5 linked regions of the Macaca fascicularis genome follow. The protein of the gene in region 3 binds, or shares a complex with, the protein of the main gene of each other region. Links are inferred from orthologs where the notes say so. Each region holds a gene or a part of one and is shown on either strand. Other genes may lie near its edges.

Evidence for each region.
Region 1: AKAP13 (region 3) and MAPK14 share a complex: the UniProt entries of both Homo sapiens proteins name them as parts of the signaling complex. The link is inferred for Macaca fascicularis from reciprocal best matches to the Homo sapiens genes AKAP13 and MAPK14.
Region 2: AKAP13 (region 3) and NOD2 share a complex: the UniProt entries of both Homo sapiens proteins name them as parts of the signaling complex. The link is inferred for Macaca fascicularis from reciprocal best matches to the Homo sapiens genes AKAP13 and NOD2.
Region 4: AKAP13 (region 3) and MAP2K3 share a complex: the UniProt entries of both Homo sapiens proteins name them as parts of the signaling complex. The link is inferred for Macaca fascicularis from reciprocal best matches to the Homo sapiens genes AKAP13 and MAP2K3.
Region 5: AKAP13 (region 3) and PKN1 share a complex: the UniProt entries of both Homo sapiens proteins name them as parts of the signaling complex. The link is inferred for Macaca fascicularis from reciprocal best matches to the Homo sapiens genes AKAP13 and PKN1.

The regions. Positions count from the first base shown.
Region 1 is NC_088378.1:135,643,540-135,647,606, reverse strand, and holds the start of MAPK14 (mitogen-activated protein kinase 14), read left to right. Parts: upstream 1-1,255; 5' UTR 1,256-1,652; coding exon 1,653-1,768; intron 1,769-1,884; exon of another isoform or gene 1,885-1,995; intron 1,996-4,067. UniProt on the Homo sapiens protein: Serine/threonine kinase which acts as an essential component of the MAP kinase signal transduction pathway.
Region 2 is NC_088394.1:46,666,532-46,670,043, reverse strand, and holds part of NOD2 (nucleotide-binding oligomerization domain-containing protein 2), read right to left. Parts: intron 2,506-3,512; coding exon 2,400-2,505; intron 1-2,399. UniProt on the Homo sapiens protein: Pattern recognition receptor (PRR) that detects bacterial peptidoglycan fragments and other danger signals and plays an important role in gastrointestinal immunity.
Region 3 is NC_088381.1:70,017,359-70,020,870, reverse strand, and holds part of AKAP13 (A-kinase anchor protein 13), read right to left. Parts: coding exon 1,691-3,512; intron 1-1,690. UniProt on the Homo sapiens protein: Scaffold protein that plays an important role in assembling signaling complexes downstream of several types of G protein-coupled receptors.
Region 4 is NC_088390.1:20,712,130-20,716,374, reverse strand, and holds the start of MAP2K3 (dual specificity mitogen-activated protein kinase kinase 3), read right to left. Parts: upstream 2,807-4,245; 5' UTR 2,633-2,806; coding exon 2,584-2,632; intron 2,451-2,583; exon of another isoform or gene 2,224-2,450; intron 1-2,223. UniProt on the Homo sapiens protein: Dual specificity kinase. Is activated by cytokines and environmental stress in vivo. Catalyzes the concomitant phosphorylation of a threonine and a tyrosine residue in the MAP kinase p38.
Region 5 is NC_088393.1:14,864,332-14,868,526, reverse strand, and holds the start of PKN1 (serine/threonine-protein kinase N1), read right to left. Parts: upstream 2,807-4,195; 5' UTR 2,705-2,806; coding exon 2,477-2,704; intron 2,326-2,476; exon of another isoform or gene 2,127-2,325; coding exon of another isoform or gene 2,106-2,126; intron 1,912-2,105; exon of another isoform or gene 82-1,911; intron 1-81. UniProt on the Homo sapiens protein: PKC-related serine/threonine-protein kinase involved in various processes such as regulation of the intermediate filaments of the actin cytoskeleton, cell migration, tumor cell invasion and transcription regulation.

The sequences.
Region 1 (4,067 bases), on a different chromosome or scaffold from region 3:
TCCTGGGAACTTGCATCTTAAACTCCCAGGGTGATTTTTCTGCATGTAAGTTTAAGAACTATTAGGAGAGTTTGAATGGAAAGCCTCAGCTTTTTTTTTTTTTTTTTTTTTTTTTTTTGAGACGGAGTCTCCTTCTGACGCCAGGCTGGAGTGCAGTGGCGCGATTTTAGCTCACTGCAACCTCCGCCTCCCGGATTCAAGCAATTCTCCTGCCTCAGTCTCCCGAGAAGCTGGAACTACAGGCTCAAGCCACCATGCCCAGCTAATTTTTGTATTTTTCAGTAGAGACGGGGTTTCACCATGTTGGCCAGGATGGTCTCTATCTCTTGACCTCGTGATCCGACCGCCTCGGCCTCCCAAAGTGCTGGGATAACAGGCGTGAGCCACCGCGCCCAGCCCCTGGAAAGCCTCAGCTTTGATGCAGGGTTAACATTTGCCTTTGGGACATATTTCGTCAGCATCTCGAAGAGTAACCCACATGTAGAGTAACCCATATGTCCTTGAGCAGATGGGAATGCAACAGCCTTCTGGCCAGAACCTGTCTCTCACTTTTTTTTTTTTTTTTTTTTAATTTGAGACGGAGTTTCGCTTCTGTTTCCCAGGCTGGAGTGCAATGGCGCGATCTCGGCTCACCACAACCTCCACCTCCCGGGTTCAAGCGATTCTCCTGCCTCTGCCTCCCGAGTAGCTGGGACTCCAGGTGCGCGCCACCACGCCCGGCTAATTTTGCATTTTTAGTAGAGACGGGGGTTTCGCCATTTTGGTCAGGCTGGTCTCGAACTCCCGACCTCAGGTGATCCGCCCGCTTCGGCCTCCCAAAATGCTGGGATTACAGGCGTGAGCCACCGCGCCCTGCCACCTGTCTCTTTTTCATGCAAGTGTTTTTTGGAATTTGGGGGTTCAGCTGAGCAGGTGCTCCGCTGCTAGTAACTACTCGCAGTTAAAGATCTTTTGACTCTTTCCCCGACACGCTATTTGTCACTGTCGTTTTCCACCACAGAGCCAGGTATTTGCCCTGCCGGCCACGGTGGGGCGCGCGCGGCGTGTGCTGCCCGCTTATCTCTTCCTTCCCTGGTCCGCCTTCGCGCCCTTAAGGAGACAGTTCCTGGGAGTTTCTGCCTTTGGGCTCCAGTTGTTGCTCTCTTCTCGCGAGAACTGCCCCTCTCATCCTCTCCTCTCACGAAGCCCCGCCCGCGAAGAGGTTCCATATTGGGTAAAATCTCGGCTCTCGGAGAGTCCCGGGAGCAGTTCTCGCGAGAGTACTGCGGGAGGCTCCTGTTTGCTGGCTGTGGAACCGCGACCACTGGAGCCTCAGCGGGCGCAGCAGCTGGATCCGGAGTACTGCGACGCAGCTCGGAGTCGGCCTTGTAGGGACGAAGGTGCAGGGAGATCGCGGCAGGCGCAGCCTTGAGCGCCGGAGCGCGTCCCTGCCCTTAGCGGGGCTTGCCCCAGTCGCAGGGGCGCATCCAGCCGCGGCGGCTGACAGCAGCCGCGCGCGCGGGAGTCTGCGGGGTCGCGGCAGCCGCACCTGCGCGGGCGACCAGCGCAAGGTCCCCGCCCGGCTGGGCGGGCAGCAAGGGCCGGGGAGAGGGTGCGGGTGCAGGCGGGGGCCCCATAGGGCCACCTTCTTACCCGGCGACTGCCGCTGGAAAATGTCTCAGGAGAGGCCCACGTTCTACCGGCAGGAGCTGAACAAGACAATCTGGGAGGTGCCCGAGCGTTACCAGAACCTGTCTCCAGTGGGCTCCGGCGCCTATGGCTCTGTGTGGTGAGTGTCGCCGGGCCTGGGGCCGCTGTGGGCAGGGTGGCCCCTCGCGCCCGAGAGCCAGGCCTGCACGACTGCTCTGCGTTGCGTCAAGTGGCAGGAATTTTCCTCGGGGGAGGGCCTTGCTGCCCCTTCGAGCTCTGCCTGTTCTGCACCTCCTGCACCCCTCGCCCTGCACTCACGCGGGTATTGCGGTCCACCGTGTGCAGCGCTCAAGTCCGCTGCGAGAGGTAGGTGGTGGTGCTGGAGCTCGGTTCTGGCTAGCACCCTGCGCCTTCGCCTCTCGGAAGGTTGCTGCTCGGCGGCAGGCACCGGGGGAAGGGCTGCTTCCTTGGGGGTCTCCCTCCGGACCTGGAGCAGAAGGACCCTCTCCCGCGATGCGCCCACGCTGTGGCGCCGGACCCTGTCCTCTGAGCAGACAAGCTTGGGGAGCTGCCGGGAGAAGCAGAAGGGCAGAGCGCAACCCGAAGACTGCGGTCATCTAAACAAAACTGACCAGGAAGGGAGCTCTCTCCGGGCCTTTTTTTTTTTTTTTTTCCCCAAACCTCTGTCGAAATCCCATCTCGAGAAGTGTTCTTTTTGAATTCGCACTTGAATTAGCAGCGATCCATAGAGCTTAAAATACCGACTTTATCTCGGTGAACACTGTGCCAGCTTGAGTGGTGTGTTTCCGATTCGGTTGAAAGCGTATTTCCTTTCTGTGGAGGGGCGGCGGTGGTAGTGCCTGCAAGAACGCTGCAGCTTGAGAAACTGGCAGTCTCACTGATTAGTCACATACCACTGCTCATTTAAGTATTGTTCGACAAAACAGTTTTTTCATTTGGAGCAAGAAAGATTCAGATCTGTAAGGCGCCCTCAAGATCAAAAAATTATTAACAGTGCTAGGAGGTATTGTAAGTATTTTTTGAGATAATTCCTGCGAATACTGTGTTTTAAAAGTCCCTTTCAGAGTTTGCAGGGATTTATCTAGTTATCTGCATTTATGGCCTGAGGTACACGATGGTTTTCGTAAGGATATGGAACCACATAGAAAAGGAAGGGAAGAGATACTTTTTAGCTTTAATTTACACCGTGAGTGTGTTTTAAATTAAGTCGATACCATGTAATTTCCAGACCTGAAATATTTCACTAACTGCTCTCTAATTTTCAAGGTTTTATACCCTGTATTTTAGATTTTCTATAATTTAAAAGCTACGGATCTGAAACTAAATATCAGATTTAACTGTTAGCTTTTTCTGTGTTTTAGTAATTCGTATTGTATGCGTCATTTGAAAAGGGGCCTGTAAAATAGTTTTTTGTTTTGGAACAAATTCCAGGCTTTTGGATGTGTTAATCTTTAAATATGATTTCTGTGTTTCCCAAAGTCACATCATGAATTTCCTGTTTGGTAGAATCTTCTGGGTAATTGAGATTGTGCAATTGTGTCCAGTAACAGATCATATTGCATTTTCTAGTTCAAGCTGCTTAAGTTATGTTGCAGATGGCACCGTGCGTGACATCTTTCTCCCATTTTTACAGCATGGCAGTTTACATTTTAAAGGAATTTGCAGGATTTTACATTCAGAGTGTGTGTGTGTATAGTTGATTTGCAGCATTTTACATTCGATATATACATGTTAATATATGTATATCCATTCAGTATATACATATTATGTATATCTAGTTGATTTGCTAATTTTCAAAGATGTATTTGGATCATTGTTCTTTTAATATTTTATAGCTCATTAATATACTTCCATTTTTTCATTCTTGAATTGACACATTCATTTCTGTAGTATCACGTTTTTGTTTTCAATGCTATTTAAATTTTAATGGAGTGATAACAGCAGAATAACTCATCTATAGAGGGTTTGGGTGAACTCCAGTTGAATTCCTCGCAAAGGTTCAGTACTGTTGGTGACTAGCTCTGCACTGGAACAGGAGATCCAGATTTACAGTGAAGTACCATTAAAATTAACTCCACATTTCTTTAGTGGTATATTTTTCTGTGGTATAAAAGCCAGCAGAGGCCGGGCGCGGTGGCTCAAGCCTGTAATCCCAGCACTTTGGGAGGCTGAGACGGGCGGATCACGAGGTCAGGAGATCGAGAAAGTCCTGGTTAACACGGTGAAACCCCGTCTCTACTAAAAAATACGAAAAAGTAGCCGGGCGAGGTGGCGGGCGCCTGTAGTCCCAGCTAACCGGGAGGCTGAGGCAGGAGAATGGCGTAAACCCGGGAGGCGGAGCTTGCAGCGAGCCAAGATGGCGCCACTGCACTCCAGCCTTGGCGACAGAGCGAGACTCCGTCTCAAAATAAAAAAAA
Region 2 (3,512 bases), on a different chromosome or scaffold from region 3:
TCCACCTCTGTAAGGTGGGAGAAATGTTGATCTCTACCTTACAGACTTTTTACACGGATCAACTAAGATGACGTATGTCAAGTGCTCAGCACAGTGCTCAACACAAAGTAAGTCCAAAGACATCAGTGACTGCCGTTATCATTACTCACACCAGGAGGAGTTGTAGATGATGGGAAGGGGCTCTAGGCTGGGATCAGAAGACCTGTATTCTGATATCTGTCCTGCCATAATGGCCAGGTGGCTTTGGATAAATCCCTTCACCATTCACTCTCAGTTAACTTTTTCTAAGGGGAACAAAGGGCTTCAGGGCTCAGGAGCCCAGTCTCTGAAGTCTGACACACCGGAGCGTGAAAACCTGCGTCCACCACACACTTGGGCAAGCCATTTAGCCTTTCTGGGCCTCAGTTCTCTCATCTGTAAAAATGGGGACAATATACACCTGGAAGGATTGTTTCAGGAGGCAGTGAGATAAAATAGAGTTTAAAAGAATATCTGACATGGCAAACTCTCAAAAAATGGTGCTTATTATCATTATTATTCATGGCTATAGTAGGCACAACAATAGACCCTCGAAGATGTCCGTGTCCCGATCCTCAGAACCTGTGAATATGTTACCTTATGTGGCAAAAGGAACTCTGCAGATGTGATAAAGTTAAACTTCGAGATGGGGAGATGAGCCTGATTGATCTGGGTGGGCCTAGCAATAGAAGGCCTCGGGGTCACCAGGGTGCCCCAGCTGAGCACTAGAATGAGAGTCTGTGATCCTGCCTCCACTTCCTCATCCTCCCCATGCACCCCATGCAGGGAGAGTTTTCATGCACAGGGTGTGTTTGGAAGGCTACTGCTCTTCCTTTCTCATCCTGAAAGCAATGCGAGCGAGCCATTTCCTGTGTCAGGGTTTAGTTCCCCTTTCAGGAAACGGGGAAGTGCTGGTTTAGAGTCCCCGGCTGGTAGGAACTCAGCACGGTCCCCCGCCATCACAGCCTCACTGCCCCCAACCAAACACTGGCCCACTTATTTTCAACCCAAAAACTAACAAGTAATTTTCAGAGAGCTCTGAGCTCACTGACGACTATCTGCAGTCACACAAAGGGGACGCCCTGTGTTTACGTCACCTCTGTTGTTCCCAGAGTTGATGATTATTGCTGAGCTTTCTGCCCTCTGAATACACCAGGATCCCTGAACTTAGACCATAAGGTAAATATCTTCCTCTCCAATACATATCAGATATATATCTTCCTCTTCCGACCTGATTTCCAATGCAGGCTTTCCAGCCATCACCAATGATACTAAAATTCTCCGGAAAAAAAGAAAATGTCATTTTATAGAGAAATAAACACACCTTTAGAAGTGTGGGGAATCCTGCACCCTGGCCTGGTCTTACAGTGACCAGCTGTGCTTGATGATATCAACGGCAAACCTCAACCAAGGGCCAAACCAGGCCCCGCGCTCCATGCTGCTCAACCCCCCTGTGGTGCACTGATGTTTAGATCCCGTTCTTTGACGAGACAGTGCACTCGCGAGTGCCAGGCACAGACTTACAGCCACCCCTCCCACAGGTTTGCTTGCTGCCCACAGGGCAGGGCCCAGGGTGATAGACCCAACTGCCAGCACCACGCACAGCTCAGGGAGCTTCAGTGCCAATGAGCTTTCCCTACAGTGGTATAGGAACAAGCCCTAAAGAGTGCCAGACTTTTGCACCCTCTCTTTACAACTGACATTTCTTCTCCCAAGAAAAGAGAAAGTGTAGGTGGGGACAATTTACAATCAGACCCATCTCCCCCTCCCTTGTCACTTAACCTCCCTGCCCAGTTTCCACATCTATAAGGTGAAAAAACCACCACCTACTTCTCAGGGTTGTTGCAAAGGGTAGACATTGTCCATAAAGCACCCGGCAGGATGCCTGGTATGTTCAAGAGGTGCTGTCCAAGCTCCTCCTGTTCCTGAGTTTGGGTGGTGACCCTGGGCACTGAGGGATACCAGAGTCTCTAGATCCACTTGGTTCTTGAGTTTCCGATTGTGAGCTGCTAAATTTCAGAGATCAAGAGGTACCAGCCCTAACTCAAAACGCGTGTCCGTATCTTTTTGGTACAGATAACGAGAGTTTGGATGGTAAGTAACACCTTTAGTTAGCCTTCAGCATATGGTAGCTCCAATTGTCAGTGTACTGTGTGGGAGATAATGAAAGCTAATAGCTAACATCACACGCTTTTGTCCTTTTAATCCTCCTAAAATTGCAATGAGATAGGGGGTGGTGGTAGCCTTAAAACAAGGAAACTGAGTCACATGGAGGCTACACTGCCAGCATATGGGACGCTAACCGAGGTGTGTTCTACTCTTAACCATGGATCTGCACTGACTGCCCTTCCCTTTCTGATTAACTGAGAACATATACCTACCTTCCAAAGGCAGGGCCAACGGGACTGGTAATTCCTGAACATGTTGTAGAAGGAAGGCGGCCAATCCATTCGCTTTCACTGTGGCAAGATCGAGCAGCCTTCTTGCCTACGGGAAAGACAGAAGACATTGTTCCTCCAGGAAGGCTGATGGAGCAGTGTGGGAAGGCTTACTGATTACTACAACTTCATAAGCATCTCTCTTCTGTCCAGAATAAAAGGTCAGAAAAGCAACTGAACAACCACAGAAGTTTCAAGTCGTTAATAGTGTTGGATGGTGAATTGAACACACGCATCCAATCTGGCTCCTACCCAAAACTCACTGAAACAGTGAATAACTGAAAAATAAATGAAACAACATGAAGACATAAACCTACAAAGATAGGGAAAATGATTCTGTAGGCTGTACACCATTTGGAAGAGAAGTGATTTCATCAAGTCTCATGGATTGAATATTTGAATACAATCTCTGCTCAGACTCCCACATCTTCATCTCCAGCCTGAACTGTCCCCCTGAACCCTGGACTTACGCATCCAACTGCCTAGTTTCCATTTCCACTTAAAAGTTTCATAAACACCTCCAACATATTCAAAACTAAACTCCTAACCTGCCCACGCACCTGCCAAACCAACAGCCTTCCTCATCTTGGCTAATATTAACCCCATTCTTCCAGGTGCTCAGCCCCGAAGTCGTGGAATCACCCTCGAAGTCTCTCCTCTGTAATCTGTCAAATCCTGTTGACTCCACCTTCAAAGCACGTCCCAAAGAGCACCGTCCAACAGAAATAAAATGCAGGGCACAAATGCAAGCCGCATGTGGAATTTCAAATCCTCTAACAGACATATGTTTTAAAGTTAAAAGAAATAGATGAATTCACTTTAATCATATATTCTATTTAACCCACAATAGTCCAAACATTACCATTGCAACATGTAATCCATGTAGAAAATAGCAAAATATGGCCGAGCCTGGTGGCTCACGCCTGTAATTCCAGCACTTTGGGAGGCCAAGGCAGGCGGATCCCCTGAGGTCAGGAGTTCCAGAGTAGCCTGGACAACGTGGTGAAACTCCATCACCACTAAAAATACAAAAAATTAGCCAAGTGTGGTGGCATG
Region 3 (3,512 bases):
AGTGCTAATAAAAATCAAAGTCTGAAATTCTCCCTGGTTTTTACTTTTTCTCATAGGATACTACAGACACAATCCCCACAGAGTTCACACTTGCTTGAGTTAAATTCTGACCACTGAGCCAGAAAGAGAAATAATTCTAGCCCATGTGGCCAAGGACACAGCACCCAAATGAAAAGAACATCGCCAGGCATCAGCTTACAGCCACTCCCATTCTTCTGAAATGCCAACCTGCCAGGGCCCCCAAAATAGACTTGTTGTTGTGGCTTTCTTTTAAAAAAGTAGAGACCTTCTCATTTAAATTCTGAGACAACAGTCAACAAATATTTATCACTAACAATCCAAAACATTAATAAAACTAAAAAGCTAAAGTCATCAAAAATTCTGGGATTCCTTAAATCCCTCAACTGGGGAGGGAAAAGATTATAAATGGCTAAAAGCCCTTTACTAGGGAAAATGACCACTGTATTTAAATTGCGCTTCTTCCAAAGCAACTTCTTTTGCTCCATTGATTCATTTCTCTCCATAACCCTCCCCCACACTCTTAATACATACATGTAAAGGGATTTTCAAAAATTGAAAAGAACAGCAAAAATAAACAATAAAGACAAAACAGGCTACTTCTTACCTACAAAAGCCTAGGGGCAAGCATGGAGATGGGTATTCCGTCTACAGCTGGTAACAGGTGGTGGTATAAAAGTGTGCATCAAACTGACCTTTAAAGACTTCAAGAGTCGAGATTGTGTCCGACTCCCGTTTCAGCTTCAGCCTCAACCCCGGATAAGAAGTTTTATTCAGATAGTTTATTTCCACCGAGCAATAGCGGTTTCTCTTTGCTGTCTCGGAACATGATTACCCACAGATGGAACAGGCTGCTGTGTGAGCAATCTGCTCAGTGCAGCTGCTTCACCAAGATAAAGCAGACACAAGGTCTGCCCTGTGACAGCAGCTCAGCAGACTGGGCTTGGGCGGAAATCCTGCATCCTATCCCCTGCACTGTGCAGGGTCTTGAATTCCCAGACTGCTGCCCAAAAGCAACAGGCAATGGAACTAGAGGTCCGTTCCCCAAGCAGGAAAAGGAAGGAGTTCCCTGTCAACAACACCCCTAGCTCAAAAAAAATAATAATAAAATAAAAGCACACAAAAAAACCAATGACCTAATACCACCATTCTGGGTGTTGAGATGTCAGGTTAGAACAATACTTATAGCTGTTCATGAAACCACTCTGACTCTAAATTTGCTCAGAATACAGACTAGGATGACAGGGGAGGAAGGGAGTTTCAGGCTTGTAAATAGAACACAGCTTTTTGGCACTGTTTTCTATGGTACCAGAGAAAAGGATTAAGCCATGTGAATAAAAACATCTGCTAAATTCCTTCATCATTTTGGAATACCTGTGATCTAGGCATTGTTTTCCAGGTTTGCAAAGTTGCAACCACTCCAGAATGACAGATAAGAGTGTTTATAAGCTTAAGCAACCAAGCAGTTAAGTCTACAACACAGGAAACAAAATCTGTGCAACCCTGAGATGACGTGCCTCTCCTGATGGTGGTGACTATTAACTTGACTACCCACCCAATGAGTGCAAGACCTCAAAACAACAAAGATGCCTATATTTTTACCAGGACACCACAGTGACTCTTAAGGGAATCTGCTGCTCAGACTGCTAATTTTGTATTATGTTTTGCTTACCTGTTGCTGGCTCAGGCCCTTGGACAGGTAAAATAATCTTCTCTGGCTCCTCCCTTTCAGCAAAACATCCTGCAAGGCTCCCTGTGGCTTCCTCAGGAGTACAGCCCATTGGCAGGCTCTCCCCAGGTGGGAAAGTACTCACTTTTTCTGTAAAAGCATTCTCTAGCCCTTCAGTGAGAGGACCCAACAACTTAGGCCTGGACAGTGACATTTGACAGGCCTCCCCCTCAGTAAGCAGTGCTCCAGCGGCCTTGACTTGTTCGATGACGGCATCCACTATACGGCTGGCAGCCTCCTCTATCAAGTCTGCTCCCTTAGGCAGAGGTGTGGCCTGGGCAGAGACCATGCAAGGTAGAGAGGGAGTGCTCCTTTCCCCGCCTGAGGGCAAGGCTTGCAGGACTTCCCTCGCGCCAGCTGGGGCCTCATCATCATGGGATGAGAGCCCCATGTCTGTGGGGAGCTCTTTGGCAGCAGGCTGCAGTAGGACAGGATGTGCTTCAGTGTCTATCTGGGCTTCCTCAGCATCGCCCCTGGTACAGCTGTGGTCTGCTCCCTCCAGCTTCCCTTTCTCCCAATCAAGAGGTACCATCTCTGGGGTTCCAACTCCCTGTGGGTCAGTCACAGCTTTGTCCCGTAAAGCTACTGGCAAACCCAGGATGACATTCTTCTCTTGGTTCAACAAGACGTCTGGAATCAGGATATCTTGGGTGTTGTGTGATACATTCTTTCTTCTGGGAACAGCCATCCCTTGTAGAGCATTAACCTGTGTAACATCCACCGTCACATTTCCATTCACCTCACAGGCACTAGTTTTCCCCTGGGATTGGGTGTTCTTTACTCCAACATCCAGAGGAGAAGGTTGACTGCAATTAAGAGCCTCAGACCCATTAGATCCATCTGGCAACAGACATGGCAACAAAGTGGAGCTGTTGTGCTCTGCACCCAAGGCTTCCTGCCTTAAGTCTGTGGCCAGACTCGCTCCTGGTGGCACCAGGCTCTGGGCAGCCCCACCTTGAATCAGCAGTGAGACTTGTGGGGCCACTTCCTTGTTATGTTCAGTTTCTGCCTTAAGACAGACAGAGGGTGCACCCGGTGAATTACTTAGCTGAAGTGCTTTGTCCTTGGCACCATCAACTGAGACCGATTTTTCATGAAATTGTAGAGTCTCCTGTCTGGGAGGTGGTGTTCTCTGCTCTTCCTGCAACATTCCTGAAGAAAGAGCATTTTCCTTAATGGAGGAACAGGTCACTGCTATATCCTTATCTTGTTTCTGAGTTGCAGAGCTTTCTGAAACCACCAGAAGTTTTCCCTCTTCTGTCAAAACTGAATCTAAAGCCAAAGTGGCCTTACCCACACTTTGCAGGGAAGAGTCAGTGTCCCCCTTGATATTCAGAGCTTCTGGGATTGCTGGAGGGGCGGGACCCTCACGCTCTCCACCAAGTCCTGTGAGACTGGTATTCCCCATCCCACGCTGAAGCTCTGCAGCAGTGGAGGACGTGGACAGGTCTGCTGCCCTATCTTCTAGTGGCTGTGTATCAGGCTCATTCGAATCTCCGTCTGGGCCATCTCTACAATCTGTAGCCATATGTAGTTCAGGAGTTGCTGTTCCCTTTTCTTTCTGGGAGGGGACAAAAGAAAGTGCGTCATCCTTGGTTACTGATTCACTGCCTGGATTGTTTGCCAGAGAGAAAGTACTATCTGATATTACTGCCTGGTCTGGCACCAGTTCTTTCTCCATTTTAGGGACAACTGGATGTGGATGTGAAACCACCTCAAGCATATTTGTTAAAGGTTTATCTAGTTTCACATCTTTTCGTTGGCC
Region 4 (4,245 bases), on a different chromosome or scaffold from region 3:
CCATGGCAGGAAGGATAGGGCAGGGTACCTGCTGCAAGGCAGGAAGCTCAAAGGTAAAGCTCCAGTAAGGTCAAGCGCCAGCCACTCCCTGCTTTGTTCAAATTCCTTTGAGAAGGTGGAGAAGGGCTCAGTGCTGGGAGGCCCAGTGCCCAGGATGGGGCAGGCACGGGGTGAGGATCTCCACCTGTGGGAGCAGTTCGGCTACTCCATCCAAGCTCAGTTCTGCATCTGTCAAATGAGTGGGATTTTGCAGCGAGTATGCAACAGGCCCAGTGTAAAGCACTGTGCACAAGAGCAGCAGCACCTCTGCCTCAGTCTGTCCTCTAGGTCTGACATGGCCATGAGGACAGGCCCACTGCACATGCTCTGAGCAAGGCCAGGGGTGGGGGCACCCCACCAGCTCAGCTCAGGCATCCAGCATGGGAGGGGCACATAAGGGAGCACGGAGAAGGCCACTGTGGGGATGCAGTCCTAGGGGGAACCCTAGCTCCGCCTGTCACAGCTGCGTGGCCTCAGGCAAGGCACTTAACGCCTCAGTTTCCTTGTCTATAAATGGGGCTATGAGGAATAAATGAGAAAATGCATGGCACATGGAAAAAAAGAAGAAGCTCATAGCGTTTTTGGTGAAGGGCATTGCGGCTCTGTCACCACATCCTTCCCCAGATCCCAAAGAGACTACAGGGTCGCTGGGCCTGAGGGAGGTCCCTGACCCTCCATCCAGCTCCCTCAATTTCATCTGCGACCTGGGTCCCTATCTAGAAGTTCATCTTGGCCCTCTCACAGCGTTCTCACCACATCTATGACCCCTCTCCCTTCACAACTCTGCAACTGGAACTTTTATTTTGATCAGGCATTCTCTGCCTGGAGAGCTAAAAAGCCTCCAAAACAAACAGGGCTTCCTACCCTTCCCCAGGCTCTCCAGAGTGGAGAAGTGTCTGATTTCCTGGTTCCCAAGCTCCACGAGGTCTGGGCAGTGCAAGTCCCTCCCCAGACACCTCCCCCCTCAAGTGCCTCCTGAGTTACTCACAGTGGTTGGGCAATGGTCAGGGATCCGGCCTCCCACTTATGTAAGGCATAATTATCCTGCCCACCCGGCTCCAGCCACCACAGCAGCCAGCAGCAGGGGCCAGGAAGAGCCCGTGCCCTCCCCAAGCCCCCACAGGGCTCCCACTGGCCTGCGCCCTCCAGAGCAGAAGAGCGGCTGATCCCCGATGAGGGGCCCACTAGGTGCCCGCTGCTAGATGCTTCCTCCTGCTCACTCTGCGGCTGCAGTTCCAGCAGTGGAGGCCTTTCCAGCAAGAAGAATGGAAACAATAGCGAGATGTGTGCAGCCAGTGTCCCCTGGTGAGCACCGGCTCTCCGCCAGGCGCTATGCTGAGTGAACACCTCAGAGCTCTTTTGTATTCACCACCCCACGCCACACTCCCGCGTCCACAGAAGCAGGTGTGATTACTTCCAATTTACAGAAAAGGAAACTGAGGCCCAGAGACACCAGGGAGCTTGCTGGGGTGAAGCAGCTGCAGGTTCAGCTAGGCAGGAGGCAGCCCATTCATTACGGCTACGTCCGGTTTGGAAATCTCTCACACAACCCAGCCTACTGAAACTCCGACGCACCAAAAACATCCTTTCCTCTTCCTGAAAAAAAAATTCCCCTTTTGCCCTCCGAGTCTCATCCTTCCCCCTCCGCATGACAAATCCTGCTGCTGCTGCCACCTCACAAAAATTTCCAGGAAGGCCAGCTACTTGGAGAAGAGCAAATCCCTTGCACAGCCAGCACCCTGGCCTGGCGGTTGGCCCAGATCCCAGGCAGCCAGGAGAGGAATAAGATGGGGTGAGAACCCCAAGTGCAGGGAGAAGCTTGCAACTCAAGACAGAGAGAAGCCAGTAGAGAGGGGGCTGTACCTTAGGGAGGGGTGGGAGGACAAGGGAGGTTCCTGGGAGCACAGGGCTGCAGGACAGGGTGCAGGCCAGCCAGGGAAGGGGCAACATAGGGCCTATAAGGATAAGAAGAGCTGGAGGAGAGAAGGACGGGGAGTTCCGAGCTGGGGTGTAGCCAGAGCACCCGCATAGCGGGTACAGTGAGGTCCGAAACAACAGAAGCACTCTGGGGCCCAGATGGAGACTTAAGTTAAATCCCAGCCTGGATACAGCCCTGGGACCCCAAGTTGGAAATGGGAGTGGGTGCTGCCCAAGGACGCAGATGGAGGCCAGTGTGAATCTCACCTGGGTCCCTCTGAGGGAGAAGACTGAGAGAGTTCCTGTCCAGGCTACAGCCATAAGGCCCAAATGAGGTCAGAGTGAGGCTCCTGACTTGGATGGGGTGAGCAGAACAAAGTCCTAGTCTGGGTCCAGCCTGGGTGATCTCGGGCCTGAATGCAGTCCCAAGGCCTAACCTGGGGGTCCAGGTGAGGACCCAGGCTGCGGCCGGTCCCGGGGCCCCGAACAGGAAGGGGTTCCGGGACCGGACGCCGCTGCCAGGTCGAGAACAGGATGGGGTGGGACCAAAGAAATTCGGTCGGGGTTTGCAGCCCGGCCCCAGATTGGGCGCGGGGTCAGGCCGAGGTTCCGGCCGGGATCGCCTACCTTTGGACTGGGGCATGCTGGCGGGCTGGCTTGAGGCGGGCGACTCCATGCTGCAAGCTGGTCCTGGACGGCGGTGGGGACTAATCTAGAGGACTGCGGGCTCCACCGGGGCCGAGCACGCTCATGGCTGCGGGCAGACGGCCCGGGCCAGGCGGAGGAGCAGAGGCGGCGGCGGCGACTACTGCAGGGACGAGTCCGCGACGGGCGGCGCCGGAGCCAGACTGGGCAGCGCCGGGGGGACCCCGGCCGAACGGCGCTGACTCAGGCCCCGCCCCTGCGTGTCCGATTGGCCCTTTCGTTTCCAAGGCCCGTCCCCTGCCTATCAGACGCCGGTCTGTCCCTGCCTGTCAATTACACGCCCCACCCTCCGTGGGCCCAGGATCCGGGCCCCTCCCGCTCTCTGTCAAGTCTGCCAGCCGCCCGAAAAACCCAAGTCCGGTCAGGCTCCGCCCACCTGGACTAAAGCCGCGCCCCTCGCGCTGCCCGTCAACACGCAAGCCCCACCCACTCCCGGGACCCACTGAGCCCGCTGCTCCTTGCAAGCGCCAGGCTCCGCCCAGCACCCCCAGACGCGCAGCCCCGGCGGGTGCGATGAGTGGGCGCGTTCTCCCGGGTGCGTCGTCTGGAAAAAACCCGAGATCCCTAAAGGTGGCACGGCTGGGCCTGGCGAGGCGGGCGGGGGTTAAAAGTGCGCTGCTGGGCTGCCTCCTGGCTCTCTGAACCTGCAGCTGCCTCACCCCAGCAAGCTCCCTGGTGTCTCTGGGCTTCAGTTTCCTTTTCTGTAAATTTGACCCGGGTTCAGATGCGAGTCGGCAACTTTGTAGCGGAACTAGCCTTGGTCAGGTCGTGACACCTGAGCCTCAGTCTACGCATCTGTGAGCGGGCGGCGGTGACAGCCGTCTGACGGCGCTGCCCGCTGACACGCACTGAGGGCCCGGCGCCAGCAAACGTCCGCCCGCGCCCGCGCTCCAGGCGCCCGGCCAGGGCGCGGGGTTGGTGGTGAGCTCAGCGATGCCCGGTGACGAGGCAGCACGAGGAGTTGTCGTGGCTGGTTGTTGCTGCCCCTGTTCTACACCGGGGGAAACTGTCTCAGAGGGAGTGAGGCAGCATGCGGTGCATTTTATCCCACGAGCCCGGAGGCCCCATCCTGGCTCTCTCCTGGACCTTGGTTCTCTCCTCTCCTCCTAAGATCTCAGTCTGCCCATCTGTATAATGGCTGGATGGACCAGTCCTCTCTTTGCTCCCACACGGAACCTTGGGGGATTTCAGGAACCGCTGACCAATCTGGCGCTGGGATCAGATGACTCTGGATGTAAAGTCAGGGCTAGTGAAGGCAGAAGGTACCAGGCAAAGGTCAAGGGGTCAGCCCCTGGCCTCCAGGCAGACATGAGTGTGTACCCTGTCGGGGACCTCACGTGAGGGAAGCAGATTCCACCACCTGCTAGAAACGCTTGAGGCCGGGCCTGACCTCTGCTTGCCCAGGTGTAAAGTGGGGGTGATGCAGGGCCCCATGCACACAGAGCGGGGAGGGCCACATGAGATAGGAGGGAAGCCTTGCAGCCGTCACCATTCTCTTCCTGCGTCTCCTGTTCACAGGCAGTGGGATGGAAAATCATGAGTCTGGGGCTCAGACAGGTGTGAGTTCCAATACCAATTCCTCCA
Region 5 (4,195 bases), on a different chromosome or scaffold from region 3:
CCAAAATAAATAAATATAAACAAGTAAATCAATCAGTAAGGACACAGATTCACACCCTGAGCTGCTGACCAGGACGCTTACCAGTAATGACTTCACAGCAGCCCCGCCTGCCAAGTGCTGGCCAGGTCTCGGTCTCTCTCTCCCATGAACACCCTCTTAGTCCCATTTTTCCTAGGTCAGAACCGAGGCTCAGAGAGGCGAAGGCACTGGGCCCAGGACACACAGCAAGGAAGTGTCAGCGTCGGAATTTAAGCCCAGGCTCACCAAATACCACCCTCACTCAGTCAGGCCCCACCCCATCCCCAGCAGGCAGAGGGAGGACACAGCCAAGAGCGGGGTCAGCTCAACTGGGGAAGTCCAGGCAGAGAGGAAAGGTGGCCTCCCTCGGCCCCACCTCCAGCAGCTGAGGTCTGTAATGCAGAGAGGGAGGGAGGCTGGGCTCCTGGGTTCTCCTCCCCTGAGTGACTCACTTCTTCCCAGGGCATACAGGTCACCTGAGGGCCACCAAGGCAAACCCAGGACTCAGGGGCCTGGCCTGGCCTATGGAGAACCCCTGCTCCTCTGCTGCCCACCATGGAGCGGAGACCTCAGACCCAGAGGACCTGCCTCCCAGAATCCCCATCTTGCCAGAGCAGCCAGGGACCTAGACCCCCACATCCGGAGATTTCAATGCCTTGGGCGTTTCCGGAATCTGGACAGGACATCCGTTTGCAGGACACAGAACAGACAGGCACACGTTGGGACAGATAGAGGGACAGGGCGGCAGGCCCAAGCAACCATGAGAGAGGGATGACCAGGAGGAGGGAAGAGACTAAGGAGGAGATGGGAAGGGGGGACCAGGGCGTGGGTCCAGCCTCACTGCAGGAATCACAGCCTGTCTGGGTCATGTGTGGGACGCGCCAAGCGCATGCATGCGCCCGGGGATTCCTACACAGCCCTCCCTGGGCCGGGGGTGGAGGCAGGGACCCCGGCCCATCCCGGCCCTGAGGTCTGACCTTGTGTGATCGGCAACACCAGATACGCCCAGCTCCTCGGCAAGGCCGGCAGGCCATCAGCAGGACTGGGGAGGTGGGAGGGACCGGGGGTTACGGGGGAGACACAGAGGGGCAGGGGGCAGGTGCAGAAGGAGACGAGAACCCAGTTACACAACAGCCACAGGACGATGAACTGGATGGTGAGGTGCAAATGGGGGCACCGAGGCACAGACATTTCTCAGATTTGGGTCACTTGAACCAAAGAAGGTTGGCAGTCACGCTGGCCCTGCTTGTCACAGACGGGGAAGATGAGTCCAGGTCAGTGATACCAACCAGGTGGCACGGGGGAATCTGGCTGGGCAGAAGGCTGGTGCCAGTCACGTGTGTGTGTTAGGAGGGTGGGGGTGACCCAGCCCTGCCCAGCCACCATGCAAAAAAGTAGGATTCTATATATGGGAGCATCCCTGGCCTGTTGACTGAGGCACTCCCCACCCGGGAGAAGGTTCCACCTGACAGTCCAAGAGTAGGAGCGGGGGTCCCCAGTCCCCCGACCTAATGCAGTGACTCGGGTACTTCCGCCAACAGGTGCCAATCTGGGTGGCGTCTGGAACACTATAAAGCTGTCTAGAGGCGGGGGTGGCTGGAGCTTTGTTATGCGGGGGAAGGGCACGGGCCGGGCCCGGCGGCCTCCTCCCCTCCCACGGCACTGCGCCAGGCACCTGCCCCAGGTGGAGCGGCACCTGCCGGGCACCCAACCCTGGGGAGGGGGATGAGTTTGGGGGCGGACGAGAGGCACCGGGACTCCCAGCCAGCCACAGACACCCGAAGTAGAGCCTCCGCCGCGCCCCTTCTAGTTCTCTGGGAGAGGCCGAGTTTGGGGGTGCAGCGGGGGGTGCCTCCGAGATTGCCCCCAAACCAGCCCCGTCCACATCGCCACCTGCCGAGAAGGGGGCCTCGCTGGCTCCACAGTCCCGGCCCAGGGAGGGGGCGCCGGGCGCTCCGGAGGTCCCCGCCCTAGCCATCGCCACCCGAGTCCCGTTCGGGGGGCTGGGGGGCTCCCCCGGGAGCGCGAGGGCGGGGTCCCCTGGAGCCGTCCGGTCGCCCCGGGACTCCAGACGCAGGTGCGCCTACCTGCAAGGCGTCGCTGGCCATGTCCTCCTGCCGCCCGCCAGGGGTCCCCGCGCGGAGGGAGGGGCGGCCAGAGGAGCGCGCGTGCGCCCCGGGCGTGGCGGGGAGGGGGCGGGCGCGGCGCGACCCTCCCCGGCCCGCGGCCCGCTCCGGCCTGCTAGGCTCCCGCCTCGCCTGCCCAGGCCGCCGCGTCCCCGCGCCGCGCCCTCCAGCCCCAGCGGCCGCCGGGCCCGGTCACGTGACCCCGGAGGTCGGCGCCCGGGGAGGGGGCGGGGCCGAGGGGGAGGGGCTCCCAGAGGCCCCCGGGGCTGCGGGGTCCCGCCCGCCCGCCCCCTCAGTCTCCCGAGCTCGGAGCACCCCGATCGGCTCCCCACCTTTCCTCTTTCCGGGTCCTGCGACGACCGCACGCTGCCGAGAGGTCCCCCATTGGAGCGCGCGGGAACCCGAGGAGAACGGTTCCCCGCGTTCAAGCCGAGAGCGGCGGAGGCCTTTGGGCCTCCCAGAACCCCTGAAAAAAAAAAAATAACCCCCCCACCCCACCCCATCCCTGTGCATTTGCAAGCTCGGGACGCCTGCATCTGTGGTCCCCTATTCAAGGGCATGGAAGTTTCCCCGTTACCTGGAGACAAGCTCTGGGCAGATCTGCATTCAAATGCCAGCGCTTTACGCCTTGGGGAAGCCAAATCCTTCCAGGCACCTCATCTGTGAAATGGGAATGATGCGCTCACCTCCTAGGTGTTGGTAAAATTCAATGAGACAGTGCAGGCCAAGAGCTGAGAACACTCTAGACGCTCCATAAGTGTTAGCTGCTGTCACTTTTAATGTTATCGTAATTGTTTGTTGTTTTGCTGTTTTTGGACGGAGTTTCGCTCTATTGCCCATCCTGGAGTGCAGTGGTGCGATCTCGGCTCACTGCAACCTCTGCCCCCCGGGTTCAAGCGATTCTTCTGCCTCAGCCTCCTGAGTAGCTAGGATTACAGATGCCCGCCATCATGCCCGGCTAATTTTTATATTTTTAGTAGAGATGAGGTTTCATCATGTTGGCCAGGCTGGTCTCAAACTCCTGATCAGGTGATCCGCCCGCCTCGGTCTCCTAAAGTGCTGGGATTACACAGGCTTGAGCCACTGCGCCTGACCTCTATTATCGTTATTGTTATTAAAAGAGGTTTGAATCCCAACTCGCTGTTCATCCTGGGAACCCCTGTGGCCTCTGAGTCTCAGTTTTCCACACAATAAAATGGGCACCGCCTTCTTTTTCGGGGCTGCTGCATGCAGATGGCGCTCCATAAATGCAGACTCGTGCCCATGCGGAGAGTGGAGGCCTCTGAGGAATTTCTAGGGGATCTCCGGGGTCTGCAGAGCGTGCAGCTTTGTTTACGGCTGCCGTCGGACCCTCACTCCTTCGGAAACCAGGCGAGGGAGCCAAACCTTGGTCTCCGGGGCTCCGGCGGGGAGCGCTCCCTGGCGGCGGTGTCTGCACATTGGCGCCCTTTGGGACCCGAGGAAGCGCCGTGGGCTGTGGGTACCTTAGCTACGCGTGGCTCTGCGTGGTTTCAGTCGTCCCGGAAACCAGGGCGCGATGTTTTCTCTCTTATTTTTTCATCTGAGCAACTCTTTGGGGGATATTAACAACAGAAAGAGAGAAGGAGGAGAATATTCTGATCTAGAATCCATCCAGCCAGGCATGGTAGCGCATGCCTGTAGTCCCAGCTACCAGGAGGCTGAGGCAGGAGGATCGCTTGAGCTCAAGAGGCCGAGAATGCATCACTGTGGGGAGCAATCATGATGCCCCTGCACTCCAGCCTGGGTGACAGAGCGAGACCTTGTCTAAAAAAAAGAAAGAAAAAAAAATGTCTGGGTGCAGTGGCTCACCCCTATAATCCCAGCCCTTTAGGAGGCCAAGGTGGTGGTGGGTGGATCACTGGAGGTCAGGAGTTCGAGACCAGCCTGGCCAATATGGTGAAACCCGTCTCTACTAAAAAATATAAAATTAGCTGAGTGTGGTGGCGTGTGCCTGTAATCCCAGCTACTTGGGAGGCTGAGGCAGGAGAATGGCATGAACCCAGTAGGCGGAGGTTGCAGTTAGACAAGAT